Linked DNA regions of Lepisosteus oculatus. The protein of the gene in region 1 purifies or fractionates together with the protein of each later gene. This does not show direct contact. Links are inferred from orthologs where the notes say so. Each region holds a gene or a part of one and is shown on either strand. Other genes may lie near its edges. The genes, in order: calpain-1 catalytic subunit-like and cast.

Evidence for each region.
Region 2: the proteins of calpain-1 catalytic subunit-like (region 1) and cast purify together in Homo sapiens (co-immunoprecipitation; 4 studies listed by BioGRID and IntAct, counting the BioPlex papers as one, with this or other methods). This does not show direct contact. The link is inferred for Lepisosteus oculatus from reciprocal best matches to the Homo sapiens genes CAPN1 and CAST.

Annotation. Positions count from the first base shown.
Region 1 is NC_090712.1:377,937-393,444, forward strand, and holds the start of calpain-1 catalytic subunit-like, read right to left. Parts: upstream 7,270-15,508; 5' UTR 7,029-7,269; intron 7,014-7,028; exon of another isoform or gene 6,947-7,013; intron 1,498-6,946; 5' UTR 1,470-1,497; intron 1-1,469. Other genes in the region: calpain-2 catalytic subunit-like, read right to left, coding at 11,914-11,937, 13,278-13,336, 14,547-14,663, 15,422-15,500. UniProt on the Homo sapiens protein: Calcium-regulated non-lysosomal thiol-protease which catalyzes limited proteolysis of substrates involved in cytoskeletal remodeling and signal transduction. Proteolytically cleaves CTBP1 at 'Asn-375', 'Gly-387' and 'His-409'.
Region 2 is NC_090698.1:74,410,972-74,426,729, reverse strand, and holds the start of cast (calpastatin), read right to left. Parts: upstream 8,138-15,758; 5' UTR 7,865-8,137; coding exon 7,820-7,864; intron 7,141-7,819; exon of another isoform or gene 7,044-7,140; coding exon of another isoform or gene 7,014-7,043; intron 1,812-7,013; coding exon 1,743-1,811; intron 1-1,742. Other genes in the region: tubulin alpha-1B chain-like, read left to right, coding at 14,903-14,905, 15,245-15,467.

The DNA.
Region 1 (15,508 bases):
ACCATCACCATCAAGAACGTCCCCCAGAAATCAATCAGACACTGTACAGCAACAGCAGAGCAGCAGTCTCCTTTATGATATATAGCAAAACACTGCAAATGATTGTGACAGTAACCTGGGCTGTAATTGAGAACATTTCTGACTGATCAAACATAAAGTGGACAAAAGAGATTAAGACGTGTTCAGAGCATCATGTTTTTCTGAGTAAAGTGTTTAGCTTCAGGTTAATTGTGTTAAGTTTAAAATGCATTAGCCCTGTTCTGCTAATTAATAGTTCAAAAGCCATATTGTTTAACAGGTATTTAAGGTGCAAAGCCTTCTATCAAACTCTAGGGCAATTTTAGTTATCTAACATCAGATCTGTCCCTGGCAGCAGATAAAAGGAGTGGTCTCCTTGTCTGTGACCTTTGACCCCTCCCAGCAAGGTCAAAGAGCCAAAACAAACTCTTTTACTTTACAGACAAATTAACTATTGCTGGTTCCTTTTCACTGTAATAATAATGTGCAGTTAGTTTCCGATGCAATCAAGACAATGAATAAGCAAAATTAATGATTAAACCAATATTGTAGCCAGTAAGACACGAGGGTTCCCACAGTACCTTCCAAGGCCAGTTTTCCCAAACTTTTCCCTGGACAGTTTTAACAATTTTCAACAATGTAAAGTTGCCACTGAAAGCCAGCAGATCTAAAGACTTTGAGCAGCAGAGCATCACAGACAGTAAACCACTGTTTTTAACTGCTTCTCCTGTTATGCTGTTCTTTGTGCTCCAGCTGATGTTGGCAGTTATCCAGGTCTTTCAGGGCAAGTGGGAACCCTGCAGTGTTCAGGGAAAGGAAAAGGCCGTCAAGAGCTTGAATTTGCAACACTAATGGGACAAGAGAAATGTGGGGATACACACAGTTTGAAAGAGAAAGCTGTACCTCAGTGGCTTTTGTGTTGAGAGCTTCCCTGTCAGCTCGCTATACTGAAATATCCTTATACAGTCTCTTTAAAAGCATAAGTGATTCCAGAGACCCAAATCGTCTTTTACGCTGCAGAGAATAAGAGCTATTCTGGATATGTTAATCCACAGATCTACTGTGTCTCTGAGTCATGCTTTCTGATATCCCATACAAATAAGTACATACTTTGCAGTCTACTACTTATTTGCAGTACTTATTCGTACATGACACACAGTTTTTAAATCAAACTATGTATTAGTGGTAAATGGAAAGGTAAGGTGTAAGAATTATTGTAAAAATAGCAATGTTGCAGCTGATGCTTAGCAGAATAACTTTTTCTCTTAATTCACTCTTAGTGGGATCCTGTGGAACAGCTGTCTTACGTAGTGTTGTGGATGTGGACGCAAAACAGAAAAAAAAAGGTAAAAAAGGGAATATTTTCGGAATGGAAAAGGACTCGCTCTGAGAGGCACTAAAACATAGACAAAGAAAGAAGCAAGCCACAGCAAGAAACATGAATCTGTTACCTTCAAATTTTCTCTGGGCCACAGCAGGCTTGAAGAAAGAAAACTTCATTTGTAATTTGCAGATATTTATAAGCTACTAATATACAGTGCTTATGACTCCATACTGTATATCTGCAGCTAATCAGTGTATTGTCTATGTAGAATAAACACGTACAGTTCTTTTATAGCTTAGGCTGCTAGAATTCCTCCTAACACAGCTGTCAGAGAAGCATTCAAATATTTACACAACGCGAGAAGGAATTTCTAGCACCTCCGGTTACCCCCAGTGAAGGTCTCAGTGTTTAGTGCCACACTGAGCAGAAATCCAGCTGTGTCACATTCCAGCAGTGCCACAGAGTCACTCAGATCCTGCAGGTCAGATCTGAACAAACTGCATGGTTTTATTTTATTGTTAAAAATGGTAAACCTTTATAAAGCATTTTAGTCACCAGAATGCCTATCTTTAAATTCTAAAAACAGCAGCTTGAAGCTTTAAGAATTTAAATGCGAGGACTCCAGAGGGGTTCATCCAGCCAGAACTGCCACTGGGACTGCAGGCTGCATTTGAGCTGCTGGTCTAACTTTCCCACTGGCACACCGACAGACCTCACACAGCCAGTCAAGTACCTCGGGCGCTGGAAGGGCTGAATTTGGCAAACTGGGATGTACTCGGAACTGAGGCCCTGTGGAACAGGAGTTCCACTGAAACTTGGAGAAGGAGGGAGCTGCAGACCGGTCACACTGCACGTGGTGAAGTCAGTACTAATCAATGTGACACCCACCTGCTATGAGTACACTCTCGCTCACTGAGCAACAGCAACTGAATCAAAAGACCAGCTGTTGGTATATTTATAGGTATAGAGGACCTTAGTCCCTCACAGACACCCAGCCCATGACTGGCTTAATCTTATCTTTGCTCTTTTGGGGTCCATTTTCCTATTTACCAAATACATTTCTTCACATAACTTGAAGAGAAGTTATGTCAGATTTTAGACCCTCTGAGACTGCCAGGCTAGGAGATCAAAATAGTTCAGTCCTGAACCGAGAACACTGCTTGACTCCTATTTAAAATCCTCAATAGCACTGAGAAAGTCGACCCCTGGACATCTGCAGAATGAGCAATGAAACATGATCCAGACACAAGTGGAAACGTTGGGAAGAGCATTTAATACTGATACCATGAAGAGTTCTTCACACAAAGGGCTTGTGCTCACGTGTACCTTTATCATGCTCACATGCTGCTGCACATCCTGCTCTTGTGCTGTGAAAACCCTGTTCAGTTCCCAGTAGGAGAACATTTACTGAGTTCTTCTTAGTAAATCTTAGAAAGTAAAACATTAGTAGATCTTTTAAAAAGTTTGAATATTTCTTATCTTCATCATGTGCTACTGAAGACAACAGAACTATACGTGTGCTCATAGCACATCACGTCCTTGAGCAGAAACACACAGTGGGCAGCTGCTACCCAGAGCCCTGCAGCACAGTCACCAGGGCTGTTGGATCTCTAACTATTTGACAGGTATTTTGGTATCTGGTCTTGCAATGTAACTATATTTTCAGATCATCGATATTCAGCCATTACAAAGTGATAAACACTTCAGAAAAACTGGGAATCCTGTGACATGAAATGCCTGTCTACTAAAACATTACCTGAGTTTCTGCTTTTACAATTTTCTGCAAAACACTGTGAGCCATTAGGATGATGCAGCAATTACCCATAACCTGCTGATGAATTACATTTTATTCTCGTTTTAAATCAATATGGTTTCAGCAGCTACAGGCACTTCTGCCTCCCTCGAGGAAAGCTAATAAGACTTGGCATGTCTTTCCCAAGACCTGCCAGGTGCCACTGCACTGTGCAGGAATGCTGAAAGTGTTTTTCCGCAGGTGAAGCATGATGTCAGGCTGCCAGCAGCTACTGTACGAGCAGCAGCCCAGTGAGCCCAGAGAGCCCAGGGTAACCCAAGCCCCCCTCTCTCCTTCTCACTCAGCCACTGACAGAGACCAGACATCTAAATGCCAGCCTTCACAAACTGCCTGGAACAGTCTCTGCAGTACTGTGCGAGGGACACAGTCAGGAATTTGAGTCAAAAACATTAAATTTGTAAAAACATTTAGTCAAAACTCCAGCAAAGGAGTCTGTTTCACCTTGATGTCGAATTACATTATTTTAGTTAACTCTTTTGAGGAAAACACCATTACCAGTTAAACAAAAAGATGTTGGTTCCTCACCTCGAACACCAGGAGGGGCTGCGCTCCCGGAAACTGGCAGATTTATCAGCACCAATATACAGTATACTGATGGAAAAAAGAAACGCAGCATTTTCTTGAATGAGAATACTATAGTGATAGCTTATGTACTTTCACAAAAAGTTGTCAATTTGTTTAAGCCCTCTGACTAGCAATACAGCTGGTGCAGTGAGGCATTGCAACTTGCCAATCACACGAAAGCTCGTTTGGTGCACTTTTACCCAATGCGGTGCAGGTGGAACAATGCTTGATCAGGTCACCTTTAAAAAGGCCTTAATTCAAAGCTTAGGTCACTGCAAGAAAAAGGCCACACACAGTCAGTTTTCTGTGCATTCCATAATGCCTCGAATGTCACCAGAAGCAAGAGAGAAGGCCACTGCCATGCTGCAGGCAGGCATGTCATGTGCCAGCGTTGCCAGACACTAGGGAGTAAACCGCTCCACTGTGTTCCGACTGCAGAGAAGGTTTCAGCAGACCATCTGAGAAATTGTTTCAGATCTGCCACCCGTACTGCTGCTGAAACTGCCGGCAGACACAATGCCTACATCAGTGACAGGACTGCGACCTGTCAGAGGCCCTCTGCTCATACCTCCTATATGTCACACCCGACTGGCTTGGGCCAGACAGAGGCTGTGATGGACTCATCGGCAGCAGCATCAGGTCCACGGATGAGTCACTCTTCAGCCTGTTCCGAGCAGACAGGAGGGCCAGAGTATGTAGGTTTTTATTTTCCATCAGTATATATTAATTTACTCCTTAGAGAAATTAAAAAATATGATTAGCACAGCTCTGCTACAGGAAAATGAAAGCACCAAAAATGATTGTCTTCCTTTCTATACAAAATGTCTAAGAAAAACCATTAGTATAATTTACTCTGTAGAACAGTATGACCATAAATCTTTCATTAGCATCATAAATTATGAATCTGTGCAAGCTAGCAAAGATTTAACATAGGAGCTTAAGAAAGGTTACAAACAAAACAAGGCCATTCAGTGGATTTGGTAGTTAGTAGCTTATTGATCCAATGATCTCATTTAGTTGTATCCTGAAAGATGCCAGGGTACCAGCTTCAACAACATGGCTTACTGGCTCAGTGCAGACTCCTACACCCTTTTGTCTAAATCAATGCCTCTTGTTTCCAAATTTAAATGTCCTTCCTCTGAGTTAACATTTGTGTTTACAGGTTCATGCTTATCTGCTGACTCTGAAGAGCTTTGTCAGGGCCAACAACACCTCCCAGTACCAAAACAGCCTGATGAGCTGTGGTGAATCCTCTGACAGAGGGACCACAATCTATTACAGCATGTCACTGCTCTTCATAGCCAGTTCATCTAATTTCAGAACAGCAGCTCAGAACTACACAACTGAAACAGAATTCCGTTCCATACGATGAAAAAATAAACGTGAATGTTAATCTTACTGTACACACTAAGATAGTTCTATTTAATTAACTGGCTTATGGAGAATCTGCACTAAAACGCTGGCACTCAGCTCTTTCCAATGAGCTGCATAAGTGACAGAACTGAAGGTTTGTGTTTAATCACCTGTCTCCCACATGAACGGGCCCGATTGCCTCGCACAGGGATGTGGGCCTTGAAACGAGACAGGTCTGAATCGCCTGTGGTCTCATAGCAAGAACCATGTAATGCTAATCCTTCTAATTTAATTAGTATACATAACTAAAATGTGTCCAATAATATTGTTTTATCCTACAATACTGTTTTACCAATTAATTTTAATGTGTACCACCCATGACTGCATGTTGATGTTTCTATTCCATGGAGTGAGGGACAGCGGTTAGAGATTTAAGTAAACATTCCTGTTTTAGAAAAGGTAGGATTTAAATATGATGGGTCTCTCTGTCATTTGTGTTTTCATTTTGTGTTTTCTCTCTCTCATTTGTGTTTATACAACTTATGTAGTTACGATCTATTCATTCTGATTCCTCAGACATCCTTTCCTAAGAAAACTAAGTCATTTAACAGCAATAAAGTCAAAATGCTGATTATGACTTGTGTACAGTAAGTCGTATAGTTTTTTTCAGGGATTTAAAAATGTCCTGAGTAGGAAAAAAACTCAAGGAAACAGGGTCTGGAGGATCTAAGGTCCCCTATAAGTGTTTATTTTTACTTAAAATGCAGATCCGAATTTTATAAGCAACCAGTGCATGAGGGCGGAATCCAAACATAGCAGCGGAAAGCTCATCTAATTGCATCCCATTAGTCGCTCTGCGCAAAGCGGCTTCATCTCGGCAATCAGCTTTACCGAGCAAAACCACAAGCGCATGCGTCGGTCAATAAAACGGTTTTCGCTTAGCTGTCGTCTGGAGGAAAAATAATTTTAATTCATGGTAATTTATACGAATAGTATTCTCATGGCAACGACGTTGTGTATAGTTTAAAAATAAGACTGTAAAGTTAAAAGAAATCGGCACAAACTAAAATTAATCCTATCTTTCCCTTTCCCCAAGGCTAGTCATAAAGAAGACTGCAAAGCGGTTTGTTCTGAGTGGAAAGAAATCACAACAATAAAAAAGACAAAGGCCGTACAGATTAATATCTGAACCAACGGGGGCGCTGCTTTCCCCAGCAGACCTGGTTCTGGCAGAGGCACAGCACGATTTCTCCCAGGTCAAATGCAGTTGAGCTTCTTCCCGCAGTGACTCGGATTCATCATGGCTTCGTTTGTTCAAAGCTGACGTAAGGGCACTGAGACTCGTTTAGCTTTGGCTTTTCGGGGTCATGCATAAGCACGGCAATATTTTCCACGTGTTTGTGAGCAGTGTTTTATATTTACATGCCTCTGTTCCGCAACACTGTCCAAATCGAAAGACGATCAGCGCACAGAGCGCGGACAGGCTGCCTGGACAATCTGCGCGCTGCCCGGTGGGACTGGAGCTCCGGCTCTCCCACCCTGTCAACAGGGCTTTCTGCCGACTGCGGAGCAGAGCCCTCCAATAAACATCACACCGTCTCTGTATACTGTCGGAACTTGTCTTAAATTAACTGAAAAATAACCCACATGCTTTTTATGGTTTTCAAACAAGACATTTTGTTCTAAAGCTTCCGACTGCCTAGTCAATAAAGATCTTCTAAAGAAATCAAAGTGGGAGGTCTTACGAATAACATTTTGAACCTTTAATAAAACACAAGCCTACCAGCACATAATCATAAATCTGGTACACAGTTTAACTGTATGTGCATTTCAGTCAACATCAGAAAGTAAAGGATCAGAGCAAAACAGCGTACCTAAACCTGCAGACTACTCATCCTAACCACAGCAGCCCGCAGCAGGCGTACCTGTCCGCGGCTGCCGGGCTGAGACACTCACCACTGCGGAGCACCGTCTTCACCTGCGCTCGGGTGTTCGGCTGACAGGCACCGGCACACTTGCGCACTCAGAGCGGCGCTGCTGCAGTGTGGAGCCCAGCCCTGCCCAGCTGACGGGGGGAGGGGAGAGGAGCCGGCGCCGAGACCCCTGAACACAGATTGGTGGCTGGGGTGCCCGCAGAGCTCTGACCCAGCCTCCCGTCCTGCACGAGGCAGCGTGAGCGCTGATATTTGATCTGCCACTGTGGACACACTGCCGATACCCTCGTCTAAGTGTCTTCCCAAGACCTAGACGTAGGTATTCTATTACGACACACTGGGCAGTTATGTACAGTGTTTTAGTTTTGTTTGAGGAACAGGGTCAGCGCACGTCAGCTGTACCTTGACAACATAATAGTCCAATGACAGCCAACATATTAATAATAATAATACAAGTTTCTTAATTAAAATAAACACAAATGAACACAAGCCATTCAAATGCAGAAGAAGATGAAAGGAACAGATACAGGAATGAATTAAATAAAGCCTTTTTGAAAAGAAGGTTTTGAGTCTGGATTTGAAAGCAAGGCAAGGTGTCTCCCTGATATCCTTGGGGACAGAATTCCAGAGCTCTGGGGCGCAGCAGGAGAAGCTCCAGTCACCCATTGAATGTAGACAAGATTGGGAGACAGACAGGAGAGCAGAGTCAGAAAAATGAAGGTTGTGAGGTGGGGAGTAGGGTGATAGCTTACAAGGGAAAAGTAATAGGTTTATTCCATGCTGAAAATAGAAGAACGAAAACACATTTCGGCTGTGGACAGGTACTGAAGCCATGTAAAGCCTTATAATAATAATAATAATTAATGATTACTTGCACATATATATAGCGCTTTTCTGGACACTCCACTCAAAGCGCTTTACAGGTAATGGGGACCCCCCTCCACCACCACCAATGTGCAGCCCCACCTGGATGATGCGACAGCAGCCATAGTGCGCCAGAACGTTCACCACACATCAGCTATCAGTGGGGAGAAGAGCAGAGTAATGAAGGCAATTCATAGATGGGGATTATTAGGAGGCCATGCTTGGTAAGGGCCAATGAGAAATTTGTCCAGGACGCTGGGGTTACACCCCTACTCTTTTCGGAAACACCCTGGGATTTTTAATAACCACAGAGAGTCAGGACCTTGGTTTTACGTCTCATCCGAAGGACAGCGCCTGTTTACAGTATAGTGTCCCCGTCACTATATTGAGGTATTAGGAGCTACATGGACTGCAGGGTGAGCACCCCTTGCTGGCCCCACTAACACCTCTTCCAGCAGCAACCTTAGTTTTTCCAAGGAGGTCTCACATCCAGGTACTGACCAGGTTTACACCTGCTTAGCTTCAGTGGGTTGCCAGTTGTGAGTTGCAGAGTGATATGGCTGCTGGCATAATATATAGGTGAGCATGAGGATTTTGAATTTCACAATAAGTCAGTGCAAGGACTCCAGGACAGGAGTAACGTGATCACTTGCACACGAGAACTGGTCAGAATTCTGGCTGCTGAGTTCTGGACAAACTGAACTTAGTTCAGAATGGATTTAGGTTCCCCCAGCGAGTAGGGTCTTACATTAATCAGTTCTAGAGAAGACAAATATTACAGTTCTATCATCTGGCCACCAGAGGGCACCCCAACCTCCATCACCTGCTCAACTGCGCAGCCGAGGTGCAGACCAAGCAGATGTCTGTAGCCAGATGTCTGTAGCTCACCATGCCTCCCCTCCTCCAGCCTACATAAACCCTGCGCAAGGTTCAAAAAGTGCTCAATATTGTTGCCACTACTCTGAGTGCTAGTCTGAGACTTTGGTACATTGTTCCCTTGTTCCTGATTTTGTCTCCTACTCCTGTTTACGTCCCTGTTCCTTGTTCACCTTATCATTGTTCCTGAGTTTTGTCTGTAGCTTTCTGGATTGGTTTTCCTCAGTTTGGTGTTTTTTCGGCCCCTGATCTTTTGTTTTCCCCCTGGACTGCTTACCTGGGTTTTTGATTTTGGCCTGTCCCTTGATTCTGAGTTTTTGGATCGTGTTCCTGGACCTTGACACTCATGTATCTCCTTCTGGTTCTGGACTCCCTGCTCACCTTTTGAGTCTGGCCTTGGATTACCCTCATACATTGTTTTGGTTCTTTGTGACCTTGTAACCCGCAAAGGGTCTATTCCCTGTTTTCTGATCTGTGGACCAGCCTAACTACAAAAGTGTTGATCAGCTTTTCTGCTACAGTCAGAGACAATATAGAATGCGGTCTGGCAATATTCCTGAAATGGAAGAATTATGTTTTTACAATATTTTTCATATACTGGTCAAACATCAAGCCTGGATCAAATATCACCCCAAGTTCTTGAATTTAGATTGAAATTCAACTACAGCGCCATCCACAAATAGGGTAACTGCATTGGCTTTACAAAGCTGATTGGAGGTTCCAAGAAGCAGATTATTAATAAGATTCTCTACTGTGATTCTCCACCTGAACCTTTAAATTTATTCACTTTTCTCCCCGCTTTCTCCTGCACACTGCTGACAGCAACTTTCTGACGTCACACAGGTGTGTCCTATCAGAGGACAGGCCAAGACGTGTCCAAGACGTGTATTATCAGGCTCAAGGTCAGACTGTCACACTTTCTCCCACAGACAGAGAGTGAACTGCTAAGTTACACGTTACTGCCGTGCAGAACACTGTCATACTAAATGGCATCTTAACTTTTAAAAGGAGGAAGATTCACATTAAGTACTGTTAGCAGTAAATATTTATCAGTCTGCAACAGTGATTAAGACTTTAGAATATTTCCCTGAAATTCTGTACCCTCACAGTAAAGACAGTGGTCTCCTACCTTTAACTGCAATGTGCCTCTCTGTCCCTCAGAGTTCTCTCTCCATCAGACTGGACAAGCAGACCTGATGTCCAGTGCTCTCTGATCTCTGCAGTGCCCTCAGTTCAAGGGTCTGTCCTTCTCCACAGGCAGCACCAGACTAACAGAACAGTCACCACAGAAAACAGGTCTGAGTTATTACACACCAGGGAAAACAGACTCCTGATACCAACCACATGCAAGTGTTTAGGTCTAATAGTAACTGTGTTCTTCTTGATACTAATATCACTAATATAATATCAGTATTTGTTTCTTCCTGATGCTGTCTGTGGCATATTAAAGAGGTGGGGAGTAATTGCATATTTCTGAAAGAAAGTGTGAGAAACACAGCCACACAGGGAATACTTTGGCATAGTCTCATTACTTTTATATTTCAACCATATATGTCTTTTAAAATTAGCAGTGGGTTCCCTGGCTCCTGTGAAGGTTACATTTTGCAGATTAAAATCATCAAAGAACCTTTCATACATTTTTATTTTATACTATTCCTTCACTTTTTTCCCTACTGTCAGATACCAACTGTGAATAAGAGCATAAAAAAGGATAAGCTACATTTAACATTTAACACCCTAACAAGCTCTGTTGTAATTAATTGGAGCTATTTAATAATGCCACACTCCACACCCTACTGTCCTGTCACCGGAAGTAATTGTTTCAAGAAATTTAAATGGATTATAAATCAAAACATGCATGTGTGGAGTTGCCTTAGGGCATTCAGCTCTACAAAGATTATATGTAAGGCAACTGTTTACACTGAGTAAAGTTATGAATAACAGCCTGAGCATATGGCAGATTTCGAACAACCATCAGGTCCATATTATAATCAAGTTGTTTTTTTCACCATGAAATTGAAAGTTTTCTGAAGATACCTTGGTTACACAGAAGCCAAAGGCAGGAGCAGGACCCAGCAGGAGCAGATCCCAGCAGGACCGTTGTCAATTCTCAAGCCGGGCCCATCTGCCACTGGCAAATGACCTTACTCGAAAGCGCAGTACCTGCTGGCGGCTCTCCGAGCAGGAATGAGGAAGGTGCCTCTGGGATGGAACAACTGCTTTAATCCAGAACCACAGCTGCACTGGTCACAGTTTAGAGCTTCAAAGGGTAGGTGTGGTGGATGGCAGGTAACAGAAAACGTATGCAGAGCTCTAGCACTACAATAAAAAATACATATCAATGTGACTGCATCTGTCTTTCAAATGCTGAATATATCTTTACATTTAACATGAAGATAGTTAAAAATAAAACCTGGTGTTCCTTCAGAAGGGCCAGAATTGTATGGTTACCAGTGTTCAGAAGCATTAATGAAGAATGAAGAATCCACTGTTTAACTCTTATGGCTTCCAAGGTGAGAGATCCTGCACACAGCCAGTGGCATTTCTGAACAAGGATCTTAAAATTCATCCCAAACCAAGACACATCGACTGAAGCAGGGAGCTGACTGTGTGTGTTGGAAACTTGACCACAGAAAAGAGAATGATCTAATCAAGAAATTCTAATTAACCAATACTTCCTTCCTGTAGATCTATGTAATTTTTCAACAATATGTACAGTAAACAATTAATATTCAAAGAATAATATATTATATCTTAATAGCATTAAGATATAAATTAACTATAAATGCCTTCTATCAGGAACATGCTAAACAGATGGAAAATGCAGAATATTAGAATAAACCTCCACAGATCACTGTGTCTTAAATACAGCAGTCAACATCTAGAAACAATTTGTGGAGTTAAATTAAAATTAAATTAAAAGACAAAAAGGCAGTACCCAGTTTTGTAGTGGTTATAACAGATTTATTGCTGTGCTCCATTCCAAAACAAGATTTGTCCTACTTTAATGTCCATTCTGTCCAATACATAAAATATAATGCAGCATTCAAAATGATTCGTATCCACAAAAAAACGTAATTTTAGCAACAATAACAACAGTTCCTGTCTTTTTGGTCACTTTGCCTTGGGGTTTTGCCGTTTTGCTTGAAGGCTTGGCCAGAGGTCTTCTAGATCATGGTGAAAGTCAGCCACTGGGGAGACAAACATGGAGCACGTGAGTGTGGTATCCGGCTCTGCGGTCGTGTCTCGACATGTCCCCGCAGTGTTCCACCCAAACCCTCCGAGAGGTAATGGGCATTTGGGAGTCTGACCCCACTCTCCATCACCGTCTCTGCCTCAGAGCCTCCCAAACCCCTTCCAATCACAGCACACTGTTGAAGGCCCTAACTTTCCACAGAGCAGATTATGTTTAATCAGCACCAATGATGCAAGAAACATTTATTTTTAAATGAAACATAGACCAAGATTTTAATAGGAAATATTGGACTTTGGTTTCTTTGACTAGGTCTAATTTAAATGTGAGATGAACACATTTGATGAACGTAACAATTTAATTTTTTTATCAAGGCTGGAAAGAGCTGCACAAAGCACATTTTAAACATCTGGAAACATCTGAAACATGCAGCACACATGAGACCTCTCCAGGGCCACTGGTGAGCCATGGGCCACAGGCTGCACTCTCTCACCTTTCCCTGGGATACAGAAGCTGCCTGCCGTGTCACCTAACTGGTAATAATAATAATAATAATAATTCCTCACAATTATATAGCGCTTTTCTGGACACTCCACTCAGGGCGCTTTACAGGTAATGGGTGCACCCCTCCAGCACCACCAAAACTCGGTTTTACATATCATCTGAAGGATTGCATCTGTTTTACAGTATAGTGTCCCCGTCACTATACTGGGGCATTAGGACCCACACAGACCGCAGCGTGAGCGCTCCCTACAGGTCCCTCTAACACCTCTTCCAGCAGCAACCTTAGCTTTCCCAGGAGGTCTCCCATCCAGGTACTGACCAGGCTCACACCTGCTTCATTGGGCTGCCAGTCATGAGTTGCAAGGTGACATGGCTGCCAGTGCCAGTGCAGACACTGAGGAAAAGCTCCTGAACACTAAACACTCCCAGAACTCTAGATCTGGTTCAGTTCTGTTCAGTGGACGTGTGCTTAGCTTGGTAAGACTAAAAATATAGGGAATTACTTTTATGAACACTTTTACGAACACTCCTTTAACTGAAACTTGAAAAAATACCACGATTAATCCACTTTTCCTGGAAAGATTTTTTAAAAGATTCACAGTGTTATTATGTGCACTATTCTCTTTCTGGTGAAGTGCCCATTGAATGTTTTCTTCAAGAAAGGGGAAGGGAGTCTGCAGCCAGGGGTGTAGATGTCTTACCCTCCCCTATGGAAACTCCAAAGCAGCAGCCCTGCTGACAGTATAACAGCTTATTGCAGCCTGAACATGTTTTACTTTCTGAAGAGCCAATATCTTTCGTTCACTATGTTCCACTTCAGGAAGGATGTCTCACCTGGTAAAAGTTGAGCTCTATTTCCCCAGTTCCCTCTGTGTCAGCATTCTTAAAGACTCCTAATGAAAGAAAAAGACCTGATATTTAAGCTTTTTAAGATTTACACAGTGATGAAAAACTCTGAGTACAGTACAATGCTTAGCAAAATTACTCAGACCCCTCTTGTGGTGTTCCATTTTGTTACATTTATAGAATTACACATACACATTTCTAATAAATATTTGATTCAGAACTTGAATGCTCAAACACAAGACTTTTAGAGCAAAATGAATTACAATACATGTCAGCAAAAACTAAAATATGTTGATTGCCTAAGTATTCAGACCTATGAAATATATATTTGATGGAAGCACCTTCGGCAGCAATTAGTCTTCTTGGGTCAGTCTCTAGGAACTCTGCCCACTCTTTAATGCAGATATGATTCCATCTTCAGTGATTGAGCTCTCACGTTGCTTGGGGATCACTTACGGCCAAAAGTTTTTAAGTCTTACCACAGATTCCCAAAGGAAGGTCTGGGCCAGTCAAGGACATTCACTTTCTTATTCTTAACCCACTCCTAAGTAACTCTGGCCTTGTGCTTTGGATCACTGTCCTAATGAAAGGTTAATTCTCTCCCCAGTTTTAGGTCTTTAGCAGATAGACAGAGGTATTCCTGTTCTGTTTGTCTGTTCTTTGCTCTGTCCATTTTCCAAGAGTCCTAACAAGCCTCCCAGTCACTGAGGTGAACCTTCCCCCCAGTGTGATTCTGCCGCCAGCATGCTCCACTGTAGGGGTGGTGCTGACTGACAGATGTGCTGGGTTGCATCTGCGTTATACAGTACGCTATGCAAAGAATTCAGACCAAAAAGTTCCAATTTGGCCTCATCAGCCAGGAGATGCACAAGGGCACACAGGGGAGAACACGGAGAGAGAAGCACCGCCCTGCGGGTGGACTGGAGAAGCCCAGCCTCATCGACGGCACCAAGAGGACGCAGGGTCAAGGCGTCGCTGCACAAGAGCCAAGAAAACCCTGGCCGAGCAATCTCATCGTGCACTCGGCAGTGTCCCACCACAGTGTGCTACCGCTTGGGAAATCCCTGTAACTGTCTGCTACTGATGTGACCCGGGTTCAAACCCGTGATCACAGAGCTCAGCTTGTGCTAGAGAGATCACATTGCAGACCGAGCCCCTCAGGAAGCACCTTTAGTGTCGCTCAGCTCTGTTTCTTTTTGAGAAAATCACTCCCAGCCACTGGCACGCCAGAGTCTCAAGGGGAAAAAGGGAACTCACGGAACATCGTCTCCAGACGAATCAGGCAGGCCACGAAGTTGTCAAAGTCAATAGTCATGTCGGGTTCAGCATAGCGGGCCACAAGGACTTGGTGGATGTTATTGGTTAAGGTGAAACCTGTTGGTCAAAGGAAAAGAGCACACGGTCAGCAGCATCCTCTCTTCAGTGACAAAGGAGAGAAGGCTATTTGCCACATCTGTTTGTCATTATTTGTAGTTAGTCATTATGATACAAGATCTTCATGCTCTATGCTAAATGAAATGGTGCAGTAAATAACGCTCTTAATTTCCTCTGCTCCAGGAAAGCATGGTTACTGTGTAAGGAGACCAGGCATGCAGAAGATTTTAGTTTAGATCAGACATACAGTAAATCCTACAGTAGTCCCTGCTCGCCAGCAGTTGCAGTTTGAACATAACAGATTTTATGTTCAGAAGCTCAACTTGGTCTGGTCATTTGATTCTGCAATATAAGCATAAAATCTACCCAATAGCTATGATCTTTCTTTTGGAGTTCCTGCACAGCCTTATCTCGTGTGGTGCTACTTCCTGGCCCAGTGGGCACTACATTCACAGTACAAAGTCCCTCCTAGCTATGCAGACACTCTCAGTCTTTTAAATTTCACACTGGGAGTTGCTCCACCAACACACTGTGTTCATGACTTCTCAAGTCTTCCAAAACTCACAGGAGTGGATGCTATATAGTTGGCTACAGTGCATGTGCTACACCAGCTATTGCACTGGCTGTTATAAGCACCTGTAGTAGAAATCCAACTATTAAAAAAGGCATAGCAAAGCCAATTAATCCTTTATATACATGTTTAGGGAAACACAGCACCTCCCCTTCATCAGTCTACTCTTCCCTCTAATGTCAGATACCTGCTTCTTTCAGGGCCATGCGCATCTCCGGAGTGCTCATGGTGCCAGACCCGTCCAGATCGTTCTTCTTGTAGATGCTCTGGAAGA
Region 2 (15,758 bases), on another chromosome or scaffold:
ATGTCCCAAGAACCTACTTTTCAGTTTTATTTAAACAACAACCTTCACACTCATTACATTACATGGCGTTTGTCAAATCGAATATAAATCTTAGATCAAATATAAAACAGTACCTGCTGAACAGGATACCTGAATATCTGACCTGAATTTCCCTGGTTTCCAACTACCAAACTAGTTTAGTTCTGTGTTAAATGAGCAATACAGATAATCTCTCCATGTAAAACATCCTCTCAACAGCTTGCCTATACTGAAGTGCTCTCTCTGATCAAACAACTTTAAAATATTTCCCAGAAACACAACTCCATAGCACTGTAGGACACAAAGTAACACGTCGGTTTTCACCTTTAAAAAATATTTAGTGATAATGTAAACTGGGAGCAGTGCTGCCAGGGAGGGGCCTTTCTGTGCACAGGAGAGCACAGTGTGACTCACAGCTCACAGCCCTGTACCGCCCCTGTCCCAGAACTACACAGCCCTGTACCGCCCCTGTCCCAGAACTACACAGCCCTGTACCGCCCCTGTCCCAGAACTACACAGCCCTGTACCGCCCCTGTCCCAGAACTACACGGCCCTGTACCGCCCTGTCCCAGAACTACACGGCCCTGTACCGCCCCTGTCCCAGAACTACACGGCCCTGTACCGCCCCTGTCCCAGAACTACACGGCCCTGTACCGCCCCTGTCCCAGAACTACACGGCCCTGTACCGCCCTGTCCCAGAACTACACGGCCCTGTACCGCCCCTGTCCCAGAACTACACAGCCCCTGTACCGCCCCTGTCCCAGAACTACACAGCCCTGTACCGCCCCTGTCCCAGAACTACACAGCCCTGTACCGCCCCTGTCCCAGAACTACACAGCCCTGTACCGCCCCTGTCCCAGAACTACACAGCCCTGTACCGCCCCTGTCCCAGAACTACACAGCCCTGTACCGCCCCTGTCCCAGAACTACACTGCCCTGTACCGCCCCTGTCCCAGAACTACACAGCCCTGTACTGCCCCTGTCCCAGAACTACACAGCTCCTGTACTGCCCCTGTCCTAGAACTACACTGCCCCTGTCCCAGAACTACACAGCCCTGTACTGCCCCTGTCCCAGAACTACACAGCCCTGTACCGCCCTGTCCCAGAACTACACAGCTCCTGTACTGCCCCTGTCCCAGAACTACACAGCCCTGTACTGCCCCTGTACTGCCCCTGTCCCAGAACTACACTGCCCTGTACTGCCCCTGTCCCAGAACTACACAGCTCCTGTACTGCCCCTGTCCCAGAACTACACAGCTCCTGTACTGCCCCTGTCCCAGAACTACACAGCCCTGTACTGCCCCTGTACTGCCCCTGTCCCAGAACTACACTGCCCTGTACTGCCCCTGTCCCAGAACTACACAGCCCTGTACCGCCCCTGTCCCAGAACTACACGGCCCTGTACTGCCCTGTCCCAGAACTACACTGCCCTGTACCGCCCCTGTCCCAGAACTACACAGCCCTGTACCGCCCTTGTCCCAGAACTACACGGCCCTGTACCGCCCCTGTCCCAGAACTACACGGCCCTGTACCGCCCCTGTCCCAGAACTACACGGCCCTGTACCGCCCCTGTCCCAGAACTATACAGCCCATCCATCGAATTAAAGCCTGCCTGACCCGCCAGCGCTGCCAGAGCCTACAGCCTGTTTTCATAAAACGCCTCCTGAGCTTCTTCTGAAGAAAGGGCCGATTCCTCCTGACCCGCCACCGGCGTGACCTCTGACCTGTGCTGCAGCAGCCGCTCCATCTCTGGCCGACCCCGCCGGCGCCGCCTGGGCCTTCTTCTCCGCCTGCTGTGGGAGAGAACGGACAGGCGTCAGTCCGGCCTGGCCCCACCGGCATGCTGGGAACACAGACAGCCCCACTGCCACCCGAGGAGGGCCAGGGTAGCCGGGTAATAATTACAACAGAAATAAATAAATAATAATAATGAACAGACTGCTCCTAAAAGACTGAGATCACGAGAAGGAGAACGCTGCACGATCTAAGCACATAAGACAGGAGGCCTTTCGGCCTGTCTAACCCAGTCAGTGATTAGTAGTTAATTGTCCCCAGTATCAGCCATTTCTTGAACGGAGTCAGTGTGCTTCAACACCAGGGCTTGAGTCCCACGAACACAGGAATAGGAGTTCCTCCTCTCTCAGCAGGTCTCTGTAATCGCCTCTCGGAGTGCTCTCCTGGCCCAGGGGGCAGGCACTGAGATGCAGCTATTTCAGAATCGCCCAGTTGAATATCGCCAAAACACACCCTTGGAGCCACTGATGCACATCAATTAATCTTTTTCAGCTGCGGCGATTCTGCTTTGATAAATGCAGCAACTTTGAAACATAAGAAAGGTTCCAAGTGAGAGGGGCCCGTGATGCCCATCCAGCTCATTTATAGTCACTGCTAGTAGTGCAGGTTGCTGGTAGTTTATTCACTTTGTGGTTTCTTTAATGATCTGATGGAATCAGCTTAAATAACATGTCTGCACCTCTTGCTCCAGACACCCACCACTATTAGTGCAGAGAACTGCTTCCTATTCTCAATCCTAAATCCTCTGTGTTCCCTGGTCCTAACCACGTGATCCTCAAGTCACCACTACAGACTCACAAGGCATTCGTTATGTAACAAAACCCTCCTCTTTCTTGGATAACAATATGAACATGCGGTTGTTGGTTTAGGAGCAGAGTGGACTTGCCCAGCCCTTCTGCCCCTTGGCTTCCAGCCCTTGATAAAGCAAGGGAAGAGAGCAGGCAGCAGGCTGCTGTGTTACTGGGGTTCCTGGGTTCAGCTCACAGGTGCTCTCCAATCTACAGAACAGGAGCAGCAGGTATGAGAATAGCCCACAGTCTGATCTCTCCACTCACGCCGAAGACCTGAGAGAGGGCCGCTGGAGCCTCACAGTGCTCCAGGAATCCAGATGTTGTTCTCACAGTGAGCTAAAAGCCTCTGCCCTCAGAGTCCCAGGACAGGAGAGGCGCAGAGAGGACAGACGCACTGAAAGCAGCAAACACCCCCAGCTGGACACACGGCCCCGGGGCTGGGAAGAAGCAGAGCTGCTGGAGGAGGGCGAGCGGGCTGGCAGGCTGGTCCCGTCAGGCGCGAGGCAGGCACACGGCACCTCGGCTAGGCCCCCGCGGCAGGCCAGGGCCAGAGCGCAGGGCACCGCGCTCAGTCAGGTCGCTCGCGCGGAACGGATTTGCATAGCTGTATCAGAGCGGCCTCTGTTCACGGCCTTCAGAGAAAGCACAATGAGTCTTCAAACAGCTGGGGTTAGGCACACATCCGCCGTCACTGCTGCCACCTCACACATCTCGGGTCCCGGTCCGTCTCCTGCCTGCAGAGCCTTCTGCGTGGAGCTTGCATGTGTCCTCCTGTGTTTGCATGGGTTTTCCCCGAGTGCTGCAATGTCCTTCCACATCCCGAAGACAAGCTGATAGGTTGACTGGCTCTGCTAACTGCTCTTTCCAAGAGGGAGCCCTGCCTGGAGCAGCACTCCTACAGCTCCGACCACCAACATCGTTAGGATTAAGATCAAGAGAAAGCGAGGCAGATGTGAGGGGAACAAGAAACAGGAACGTGTGATCATGTGAAACAGGGACACGGAATGCTATCCAGAAACTACAATGTTAAAAAAAACTGACCAGCAACACTTTCTGAGCTACACTTTCCTAAACCTGTAGGCAGACACACATTTCCCTCCAGTACATCACTATAAACTGTGTGATTTGCAACAGTACAGCAAGTTTGTCGATCTGAAACACACAGCAGTACATTTCCTGAAGAGCCCAAACAAACCACGGCCACAAAATGGGTCCTAACTTGTCTGTGTGAACACCCTCTCTCCCCGTCTGTGTGCCTGCAAGTCTCATGGAGAGCAAGCTGGGGTATGCAAAAAGACAAAATCCTAATGCAAGAAATTGTATAGGGCCAATAAAGTGATCTTATCTTATCTAAGATACTGTACAAGTTTCTGGAGGTATCCCAGCAACACTAACTGCTGCTGCACTCGTCCAGGGGAGAATGTTGACTCAGTGGTTTCTTTTCAATTCAATTCAATTCAAGGTGCTTTATTAGCATGACCGATAGGTACAATCAGTGTTGCCAAAGCAAATAAAAATAATAAAATTAACATAGAACAAAACAAAAAATATAAGTAAAATAAAATCTACAGACATGTTACAGACATTTACAACAAAGACATATTATATAATATTGACCCAGAGTATCTGTCACAGTGCAGTAGGAAGTGCACCTCTGTCTCTATTTCTCCCTGCTGGCAGTCAGCCTGTCCTCTCTGGGCAGCCAGGTCTGCCTGTGTCGCCCAGTTTCTATGGCCAGGTTGTGGTCACTGAGCCTGTACTTCGTCAGGGTCTGTTTCTGTTTGTTATTTTTTATTTTGGTCAAATATGTGTATTGTCTGTTTTAGGTTCTGTAGCATTCCAGTTTATGTTGTGTTTGTGTGTGTGTGTCCCAGTGTGTGAGATATTGCTGTTTGATCTGTGCTGTGATGTGGTTGAGTCTGGGTTGTGGTGCTCTAGCAGTGCTGTCCTGAGGCTGGTTAGTGTTGGTGTGGCTCAGGTCGGTGAGCCTCAGGACCAGCTGGCTCAGGGGGCTCTGTTTTGGGCTCAGCTCTTGGCTCAGCAGGGCTTTGTGGTGGTAGGAATTTTGGTCACTGTTTTTTAGGTGTAGCCAATACTTTAATATTCTTTTCTGTATGTTTATCAATAGTGGGTACTGGCCTAATTCGGCCCTGCACCCGTTGTTAGGAGTTTTTCTCTGCACACGGAGGATGATTCTACAGATCTCCATGTGCAGAGTTTCTGTGGGGTGTTTGTCCCATTGGGTGTAATCCTGGTCTGTGAGGGGACCCCAAACTTCACTGCTGTATAGGGCAATGGGTTGGATTACACTTTCAAATATTTGGAGCCAGATTCTTGTTGGTGGGTTGATGTTGAAGAGCCTCCTTCTTATTGCGTAGAAAGCCCTGAGTGCCTTCTCCCTCAGTGCCTTCACTGCCAGGTCAAAACTCCCGGAAGAGCTGATGGTGAGTTTTGACCTGGTTTCTTTTCACTGTGTAGAGATAACCTGTGAGCCCTGCACCCACGCCTTACTGTAAAGAGCACAGCAATGCAAGGAATGCTGCACTACAGACTGTGCATTGCACACTGGATACTGAATACTGCACACCACAGACAGCACAATGGATACTTAACAGTGCTCTCTGCAGACTGGATACTGTCTGTGGACCCAAATGCAGAAATGAATACGTGCACTTCCAGCAAAGTAATTGCAAAGATCTGGAAATGACAACATCAATATTGTACAATATTCAAGCAACGCTTGAAATATGAGCAGGGGTGAGTCACAACAACAGTTTAATATTGCAGTTGTTTCCGATCTCAGCTTTCGAAAAGTGCAACTTATTGCCCGAGCCTATCAGAATAATCCTGAAACTTACTGGTGAGATTTTCAAGAACATAAAAACAGTAACAAACAAGGGGAGCCTTTTGGCCAATGTGGCCGGCTTGGCAGGGAGTTAATACATCAAGTGATCACCAGTGAGCCATTTGAACAACATGGCTTGTTCCACACACCCGCCACCCTTTGTGTAAAGAAGTGTTTCCTGCTCTTGGTTTTAAATGCACTTCCAACAGTTTCCGCCTGTGGTTTTTCGCTCTGATTGAGCTGGAAGAAAGAAACACAGTGGTACAGGCTGAGTTTGCAGTGCAGCTCTGGTCCCTGAAGAAACTGGACCCACTGCTGGTAACCAGGGCACTGCTCCGACCCACCACAGCGGCACCAAAACCAAGGACTGCTTCATGCTGCACATTTCCTTGACCAGGCTGCAGTTCAGTAAGGGAACAAATGGTCTGCAACCCGTGTTGCCCTCTCTCTGACTCTTTATGTGAGTAGATAATACTGGAACCACAGTATTTAACTTTCCAGTAAGACACTGCGAATAACCAAAGATTTCACAGCACGTCACGCGCAAAAACTGCATTTGATGCAGCCTCCCAGCCATGTTTTCCACTTAAATATTAAAACCAATTTGTACTGTGGGGAAAGCAGTATGGAAAAACTAGAGAGCGTCATCTGTAGTGCATTTTACATACTGCAGAGTGTGAAACCGCTGAATAGCTTTACTGCTTGCATTACCTTATGAGGCTACCTGAAGATATTTCAAGTACAAAATAAATAGTAATACTGATGCCGAGAAATCATTCACAATCTCCTTAAAATGAGATGGACGAGGTGGAGTATTGTGCTGCAATCCTCCGGGTATCGCTGTGTTCTCACACACGCTGCTTGAAGCAGTAATAAGTCTGAACTTAGAGAGCAGCTCTGTGTCGAGACTCGTATGTCCTTTCGGGTGTCTCTCTGCAGACTGAATGCCGAGACACGCTTTGTTAGCGCCCCTAGAGGCACCAATGCGCAAAGACGCTTCATTCACTGCACCTAATCCAAGTATCGAGTCTGCAACTTCTACACCGCTGTTAAATCTTAAATCAGAGTGAATCAGACTAAGGCTGTTACTTTCCCAATCACGGCTCTAAACCAGGGGCGTTTAACATGTACAGCAAGCGACTAAGGCAAAGGAGAAGACACACGAACTGTCCGTATTCCAGAGACACGCCTCTCGTGAAAACTCGACTCTGAAGTGTTTGGAGAGTCCCGGGCGGCTCCCCGCACGGAGCTGGAGCTGCTCTGGAGAAGCGCCGGGAGTTTCCTGCGAACGCGGAGCAGGTGCTGCTGAGGACTGTTTGCTCAAGGCTCCGCGCACAAAGCGCGTATCGCCTGCAGGAACGGCAGCGCTAGCACTGCTGTCAGTCAGCCATCCTGCAGACACACGCACGGGCATCGCGCTCTGCGCACCCAGCCCCTGCAGTCACAGCGAGCCTGCCCGGACCCGGAGGGAGAAAACAAACCTCCGCTCTTTTTTTTGGTCCTCACGCTTACCCCGAAGCCCCCCAAACGAAAGCCTCCGAGCTGCGACTCCTCACGCCACTTACTGTCATGGACCAATACTTCGCATAAGCCATCTGCGGCTCCGTGCGTCAGCGCGCTGGCGTGAAGGGACGAGTCCGAGTCTCCGACCTGCCGCCTCGGGCACCGGGAAGCGCACAGACCGGACGGGCTTCCTCCAGTCAGCCCACTCGTCCAGCCTGTCCGCGCTCCCCGAGTCCCACGGGCCGTGCCCGTCCGCCCCCCCGCACCCTCGCCCTCTTCACGCGTCACCCTGCCCCTCCTCCAGGCGCTGCTGCCAAATTCCTACATTTTCCAAAATCAGTCTCCCATTTTGACCGAACAAGGCGGGGCGGGGCGGAGAAGAACACGACAATACTTACCGACACACATATAAAACTCAACGACAATAATTACACCCAACGTGTTTAATTACCCGGCGGTCTGGGAATACGTTCTTACCACGGGCAGAGGCGAATTGCCAAAAAAAAAGAGTCAAATTTTAACCTCGTTGTGCAAGATTCCAACAGACACGAGCGGAGGTATTATTGTCACGTTTTCCCCCCGCGTCGCTACGGAGTAGTGAACTTGTGTAACAATGAAGTTGTGTAAACTTGTGTGAAACAGTCCTAGAAACCCTTATCCCCGCCGGTCCGTGGTCCCTGCGCAGACCACCCTGCCAAAACCGACTGACGCCCCTCGGCCAGGGGGCCGGCCGCGTCCAGGGTCGCCGGGCCCCGGCTTGGTGTTCGGGAATCTCGCACTGAGAGCCGGGCTCGTCCCGGCAGGAAGGGGCCGTTGACACCACGCCACGCATTCGCGGGGAGAGAATACCTGCTGCGACATCACTTACCCCTCTCGACTTCTTCGGACGGTTGTGTTTGCCTTTGTTCGGCATCGCTGCAAGTGCGCACGGATGAGTAACAAGCACTCGCCCTGTGAAGACAGACTTCCAACCTGACACACAGTTGACTTTCTAACCAGGATTCGCCCCTCCCGCTGTCAAAGTAAGACCGAGCGCTAGGTTTTGATAGATTTACTTCATAGGCCGGACCTGTGGCAGGCTATCGCTACCGAGAGGCGTGTGCAAGCGTCGCCCTGGGCGCCTGTCATGCTGGAGCGCATATTGAAGTGGTTCAGACCTAATTATTCCGCTTCACGTTTCTGACTCCGAGGGAGGCTCCCTGCTGCCGGCGCTCCGGTACCGCCTCTCTCCCAGCTGCTCCAGCTGCCCCAGCTGCCCGGGCCGCGAGCGCAGCAGCGGCGCGCGACCTCCCACCGCCTTCTCGGGATGAAGTACCGCTGAGCTGCTGACCCTCTCAGTGCAGTACACTGTCACACGCAGACGTGCAATGAAATGCTTATTTGCTTGTGTGCTCCAATACACGGACAGAAACAGCGGCAACAACAACAAGTTAAATAACATCTTAGTGAAAAAAAACGAACCCATCAGTGTGAGCCGGTGGTGGGGGTAGAGTTCAGTAATCTGACAGCTTGTGGGAAGAAGCTCTCTGTGGATCTGGAAGTTGGTGCCTTTCTGCTCCTACAACGCTGACCAGAGGGAAGGGAGGAGAACAGTGAGGAACCAGGATGACTGGTGTCCTTCACGATACTTCCAGCCTTCCTGAGGCTGCGAGTAGTGAAAATGTCTGAAATAGAGGGGAGCTGTACCCCAGTGATGGAGTGGGCTGACCTGATCGCCCCCTGTAACCCTTCTGGTGAGACAGCGAGCTGCTGCCAAGCCACACCGTCCTCCCACACGTGAGCCAGTCTCCACAGCGCACCTGTACCATGTGGTCAGGACCGCTGGAGACAGACCACACTGATTCAGCTGGCTGAGGAAGTAAAGGCGCAGTTGTGCCTTCGTTTGAGCTCCAGTTACATGCTGGGACCACGTTCAATCACTAGTGATGAAGGTACCCAGGAACCTGGAGCTGCTGACCTTCTCTACAGCCACCCCCTTGATGTGAACAGGGGTGGGGTCCCCACCCTGCTTTCTAAAATCGATGACCAGCTCCTGCAGTGCACAATGTCATAGAATGAAACACTTTAACGCCCCCAAGGCTCTGGAATTCTATCAGTCTATCAAGAGTATCAGTCAGCTTCCCTGATCGCTTCCAGACCTTCCGAAAGAATTGGACTTAATCGGTTCTCTGTCTGCCCCTTCTGCACTCCAAACCCTTGTCCTTCTACAGAGAGATTCCAGGATAATGATTATTTTACTGCACATTGAAGTGATGTAGCATGAAAGATGCTATATAAAAGGAAGGTTATCATTATTAACAGCCACACTGTGTCTCACCAGCACTGACACAGTGAAAGCCTGTGCCAGGTAGAATATTCTTTAAACCCAGAGTGAGAACTGAAACATTCCATTACAATTAACACCTGTGCAATTTACACTTCAAACTCAATTACACACACTGTGCACAACTACACTTTCATCTGTGCCTGAGTCAGTACAGTCCTCCAGTTGGCTCCACTGGGAAATCCACTACATTGCAAAAAACTCCATTGCACTCTTCACCTTGGTCTGTAGTGAATGGCAGAGTGAAGAGAGGGTGTGGGTGTGGGGAGGGACCGGCTGTCAAGGGCTGTGTGATGCCAATTTGCCCTAATGGGCCAGCGACACCCTAGTCATGTCATTTGCCAAACCGCTTTATACCATACGTTGTGGCAGGAAGCAACGAGCACAAGGCAGGGTACACCCTGGACAGGGTGCCAGTCCATCGCAGGCAACACCCTGGTGTTGATGCAATTTCACGCCTTATCCTCTGTGTTTTCTAGTACAAGGTCCTCTTAGCATAGATCCCAAGTAATTACCAACGATTTGGGGGCAACATGTTGGGGTTTGACTGTGCCTGTGATCGAGAACGGGCACGGGGTGCGCTTGAACAAACTGTTGATACACCTGGCCGTCTGTATACAGTACAGCCACTTCCTGAACACGCCCTGGGCAGGGAGCCTGCCCACACCCAAAGCTTCTCGGGATGAATCTACAGCATTGTTGGGCAGCCCTAGAAAAGCCTCAGTCTGAAAAGAGCCGAGGTCTTTTGGGAAGGAGAAAGGACAGCAGGAGAGACTGCAGCAATCAGACTCTGTAGGACTCAATCACACACCAGTGACAGGGAGCCTCCTCTACCTGGAACTGGACTCGGAGATACACAGGACAGAAGGGAAACACCAGAACACAGAGTCCAGGACACCCAGAGCTGAGGAGGGTCCTGGAACTTCACTGTCTCCGCTCTGGTGTCAGGAGGCAAACCAGGTTACTGAGTGGAGCTGGGTCTGGAGAATAATGCTATTGGACTGTTCCTCTGGGACACTGGGTTCTGGGACCTGTTGGTCCTGGACTGCGCTATGAGTAAGCCGTGTCATGTTCTGTGCATGGAGTGACATCCGTGACACGAACCTTATATAATCTAATTCTGCTACAGGGAGTGCCCTTTAGAAATTCAAATCGGGTGTCTTTTCTGTGTATCTGTAACATACACTGCTGCCTTTTGAACATGAAGCTTGTGCAAGGAATATCAGGCAAACAAGAGTCTTTAATGTTTGTCTTGAACAGGTGACGAGTCAGAACTCCTTATCAGCGCTCAGATAGCTCTGAACTCAGGTGTGAACTTCAGTGCACAGGCAAGCCTCAGCATGACAGGCCTGAGAAGTGAGTTCAGTCATCTGTGCCTCCACATCCTACCAGTCGAGATTCAGCCTGGAGGAGTGCAGGCAGCTTGTGAAGGGATATTTTTTTAAAATATCTGATAACAAACTTCTCAGACAGCACAGGACATGTTGTTAAAAGCCACGCAGAGATGATCACTCTTGAGAAGGTTGAGCAGCTCTGATGCAAGGAAACACACCCAGAGCTGCCCTACACACGTCTGGCAGAGAGTGAGCTCCTTTAAACACTGGGTTTCCTTTCTTCTCTTTTCAGCAGGGAATAAACCTTTCCTTGCTCTTTTAAACACATTCCGCTCGGTGAAATGGGAATTGTAGTGTCGGGGGTAGAGCCGAGCTCTCATGGATTACAAACACGGGCAGCACCATGACTGGCCACAAGCAGAACCGGCTGACCCACGTCTACACCAGCAGTGCCAATAGTGCTGCCTCATCTCCATTTCACTCCCGATGTGAAAAACTACCATCTGAATGACGTTTCAGAGGACCAAAGGACACACATTTTTTTTAAAAGTATTTCAGTCATTCTGAGACCTGTTACTCCTTTAAATTCTGATGTAGGGGCCTCTTCAGAGCATTGCTTTGACAGCATATAGTGTAGAAAAATGCAGCTCACACCTGAATCTTATGGTTTTGAGCTGTACTGTATTGATGTTTATTGTACATTGATTGTATACATCTGTAAAATCCACTGAATGATTGATGTATTCAATACAGTATATACACATTTTGTATTGGAAAGTAAATTCTGATTCTAATGTGAGCTCACATGTGAATGTACCATGTAAGAATAACATGCCCTCAACAAGTGGCTCTTCCTCAGAAAGATCCCTAGTTGGTCAGACAGTGGTGATCTAAGAGAATGAATGCCACAGACGTTCGTGCAGCACAGAGCCTGCTCTACGGAGAGTCATTCAGCCGAAGTGACTTACAGAAGATAGGTGGAAAACTACCGCGTTCATGAGCTGCTGCTGCAGAGTCATGAGACAGGGGCACAGCTGAGGTTTGAACCAGGAACCTCCTCATGTGTTCTTAAGGTGGTGGATATTAATTTAAAAACGAAAGGCAGATTCTGTAGAGTAACACAGGATAAAAACTGGATCAAACTTATTTTTATAGCAATAGTAAGCTAGTGTCCAAAAGACGAACCCAGCGCTACTGTGTGTTCTGACTGCAGGGGTGGACTGAGCACTCAGGGGAAATGTGAGGGTGTATTGGGGTTCCCTTGTTTTGGGGGTGATGAGCTGAATCAATGTGAAGATTCCTAGTTCTACAGTTTTTGCAAGGTGAATAAAGTGTTCCTCCTCTTCTGTATTTTTTACTTTTTTTAAGTCATACACTAAAATACAGGAAACACATAATTATATCTCTACCATTCATTCATTCATTCATGCTCCCTGAACTGAAGAAAAGGTAAAAAACTCAGACCAAGGGATTTGCACAAGTACGCAGCGTATCGATCGACCTGCCCCCACTCCAGCTCACAGGCTCCTGCCTGTCCAGAGGCTGCTGTGTGCAGTCCGGAGCCGACTGCCTGGCTCAGCGCTCGGAGCACAGCAGGCCTGTGGGAGAAGCGGCTCGGACTTCCTGAGATTCTTCACCCAAGGAGCTCGGCTTCCCTTGGCGTTTCCTAGCACGCCTGTGCAAACAGCGCTTTGCTGGCGGACCGACAACACGCCGTGTGAACCGTGGTTTTGCCTCATGCCTGCTCTGCTCTGCTCTGGCCTGAGCACTCGGGCTGGGCGGATACGTCAGGCCTGGTTAGTGTGGACACAAACTACGCTGGAGCACTCAGCACTTTTCATTTCAAATAAGAGCACTAATGGTAAAGTCAAGTGTGCATTGAGTGTAGTGAATCCAGGCCTGGTAAAGCCTGATTCAGAATCACAGGAAAACAAGAGGCCAGTTTCTGTTTGATTTGACCGGGGGCTGGTAGGCGTGGTGCTCTCTCGCTTTGGCAGGAGAAGCAGAAAGGGAGTGTTAGCTTTGACAGAATGAGGCAACAAACGCGAGTGTCTTTCAAAACTCTGTCAACTTTACACAGGAACGAGTCATGGAAGTAAGTGATCACAAAGCCAAGGGCATCTGAGAGAATCTCTTACTGGCACTTTCCACACAAACAGCCCGGGTGAAATATTTTAAAAGAGGAATATCAAACTCCCCTGTGCCTTAGGTGGGCTTCTGATTAATCACAACGCAGTGACCTGCTTCTGGCTTTCACATATGAATAAAAGGGTGAAGGGTCCATATTGGCAACTCTGGACAGGCCAGGGGACAGTTTCAGATGTCTGTATGAGAAGATCCAGACAAGCACACGCCCCCTGCTGTAACAAGCGCAGTCTGCTCACTGGTTCAGACTCCCGGCTCCGTTGCAATGCTCAACATGAACACAGCCCAGCCCATGAATTCAAAGCAGTCTTACTCCCTGAATTGTCTCCAGTGTTATGAGGAAGCAGTGCTCCCCCTAGTGGATTCAGAAGACATTGTCATTTTCATTTTGAAGTTTAAAAGTTCCTGAATTGTTCCAGCTGCATGACTAAGTCAGCGACTTTCCTTAGGTGTGCCTTTGGACTCAAGTATATTTAGTCTTTCTTCTCTTTTGGGTCCTACAGACTGTTTTGGGACCTTGGATTTATGAGTCAGGCCCCTGTATTTTGCAGTCGAGTGTTCAGACTATCAAAGAAGAGTGAAGAGTTAGAATTTAAATGATGTAGTTTAGGAGGCTTTCTGTTTGTACCTAAGCTAGGTAAACCCACGGTACACTCTTGGAGAAAGGCTAGCATGGTGTTATATTTATGTGAGATATTCTGTTCACCATGACCGAATCCCTGGGAGGGCGTGTCTTCTCTAGTGTGGAGTTGTCCTTAGGAGTGCAGATCGTAGAACTGGGAGGTTGTGGGTTCACACCCTGAGCGGTAGTACCCCCGAACTGGGCAGCGCCCTCAGAACGCTGCAGTAAGATGACCAGCGGTCTAAAGGGGTACAGCTGCAAGTCGCTTTGGAAAACACTGTCAGGCAAATGAACTCATAATAGTTCAGGTGGGTAGCTGCGTCGGCATGCTGCAAAGGAACAGGTAACGTTGCGTTTTCTTTCTTCTCTATTCAGCATGGAATAAACCTATTACTTGAACTAATAATAGTTTATATTCTGTTCCAGCCAAGATCTTAATTGCAGGCCAATAGATTTCAGTTTTCTACCCGGCACATTTTTACATTCACTTTTGAGTTTTACAAAGGCGATTTGTAAACAGTATCAAACGTACTAACTTGGGGGTTTCAGACCTGCCTTCACTCACCTGTGTGACCTGGGGGCGTGTCTGATGCAGTGTCATTCGCATCTGCTGGGACTACTGCAGAGAGAAACAGGAGAGGAAACTCTTACTGAACAAGCTGAGCACAGACTGTGCTGAGCGTTGTGTGCTGAGCTGGGGTTTGTCTGAAACCACGGACTGAGTACAGAAACACCCAGTCCAAAATAAGCAAGAGATCTGGGGGCACAAAATCAAGAAGACACAGCACCCTGTAGTGTTGTTTATATAGAACAAAGCACATGCCTTTACAATGATCATAAAACAGTCAGGGACATGTAAATCGAAGGCCAAACCAGATTGGGCTCATTGACCCATCTTGCACATTTGTTTTAGAGTTGTAAGGAAAGTCACACAAGTGTGGTTTACAGTTTTTTCTAATTCCACACTACTCTTGGAGTGAACACATACCTCTGGGTGTCAGCCTTAAGCACGGGTCCTCTAAACTCCTGGTCGCGTCCCGATGCTCGCTTGCTGCTGTGCACACGTTCATCCACCAGGCTGATGCCCTCAGCGTCTCTTGGGATGAATACTTGTATAATACTCACTCATTACTCCATCTGTTAAAGATCGGAGACTTCCTCACTTATCTGTTCAAATATACAATTAAACCCCAATACCCATGCTAGAAAAAGTATATCTACTCGGAGACAATCGTTTTCTCCTCGTTTATAAAGACAGTAGTACAGTATCTTTCCCAGTTAAACACGACTCTTGCAGAGCGACAGTCAACAAAGAGCAGTACATATACGAACAGTATCGGAAATCTCTTAACAGTTGATATAAGAGCACGTTTGTCCGCAGAGAAGCGGCTGAGTGGTTAATGTCCCGCGGTACCTGTGATTGGGCACTCAGGTGCACCGCCAACGACCTGCAGGTGCGAGGATGTATAAATCAGAGGGAGGCGCGCACAGCGGTCGTTTTGGGATATCGACGCAGAAGTGAGGAAGATGGTAAGGGCCAAACCTCTAGTTTATCCGCGTATCCTTAAGAGCCCCGATAAATGATGAAACGCTTTCTAAAGTTTCGTACACGGTAAACAAAAGTGTTAAGGGGGGGAATCGTGACACGAATAAACACAAAATCAAATCGAGATGACTTATTACAGCGTGGCTGTATTACTTCAGTTTCTTGGCGCAGAGTTTGATGTTGATCTCCTAGTAAGAAACGACCCCTTCAAAGAATACCCCAGTTCGTCCACTTCCGATATCGAATGTGACCGTCTCGGGTGAGCTTGGCGCCGCGGTTCGGTACCGCTGGTGACCCGCTGCGTGTGCTCGCTCGCCCCGCAGAGGGAGTGTATCTCGGTCCATGTCGGCCAGGCGGGGGTGCAGATCGGCAATGGCTGCTGGGAGCTGTTCTGCCTGGAGCACGAGATCCGGCCCGACGGCACCGTCTCGGACCCGAACAGCCCCTCCGTCGTGGACTCGTCCTTCTCCACGTTCTTCAGCGAGACCGGCTCGGGGAAGCAGGTGCCGCGGGCCGTGTTTGTGGACCTGGAGCCCACAGTCATTGGTAATGTATCTCGGGGAACAGACTCCACGCACTCCGGAACGGTGGGGGTGTTTTTAGTACTTTTCTGTGTTTTGATAGATTAGCATCTTTTAGTCTGTTAATAAAACGCGTCCCTCTTAATTGTTAATTCGTGCAATGACAAGCTCCATGTTAATGGTCTGTTTCTTGCATTTGTTACCTTTTTCTTTCTGAACAAAAAGGTCTATTTTAATGCCAGTCAAAGGGGGGGGGGGGGCAGACTGAAAGCCTTTCAGATTAAGAGCTCATTCCCAGTCCTTATTGTTGGTAGGT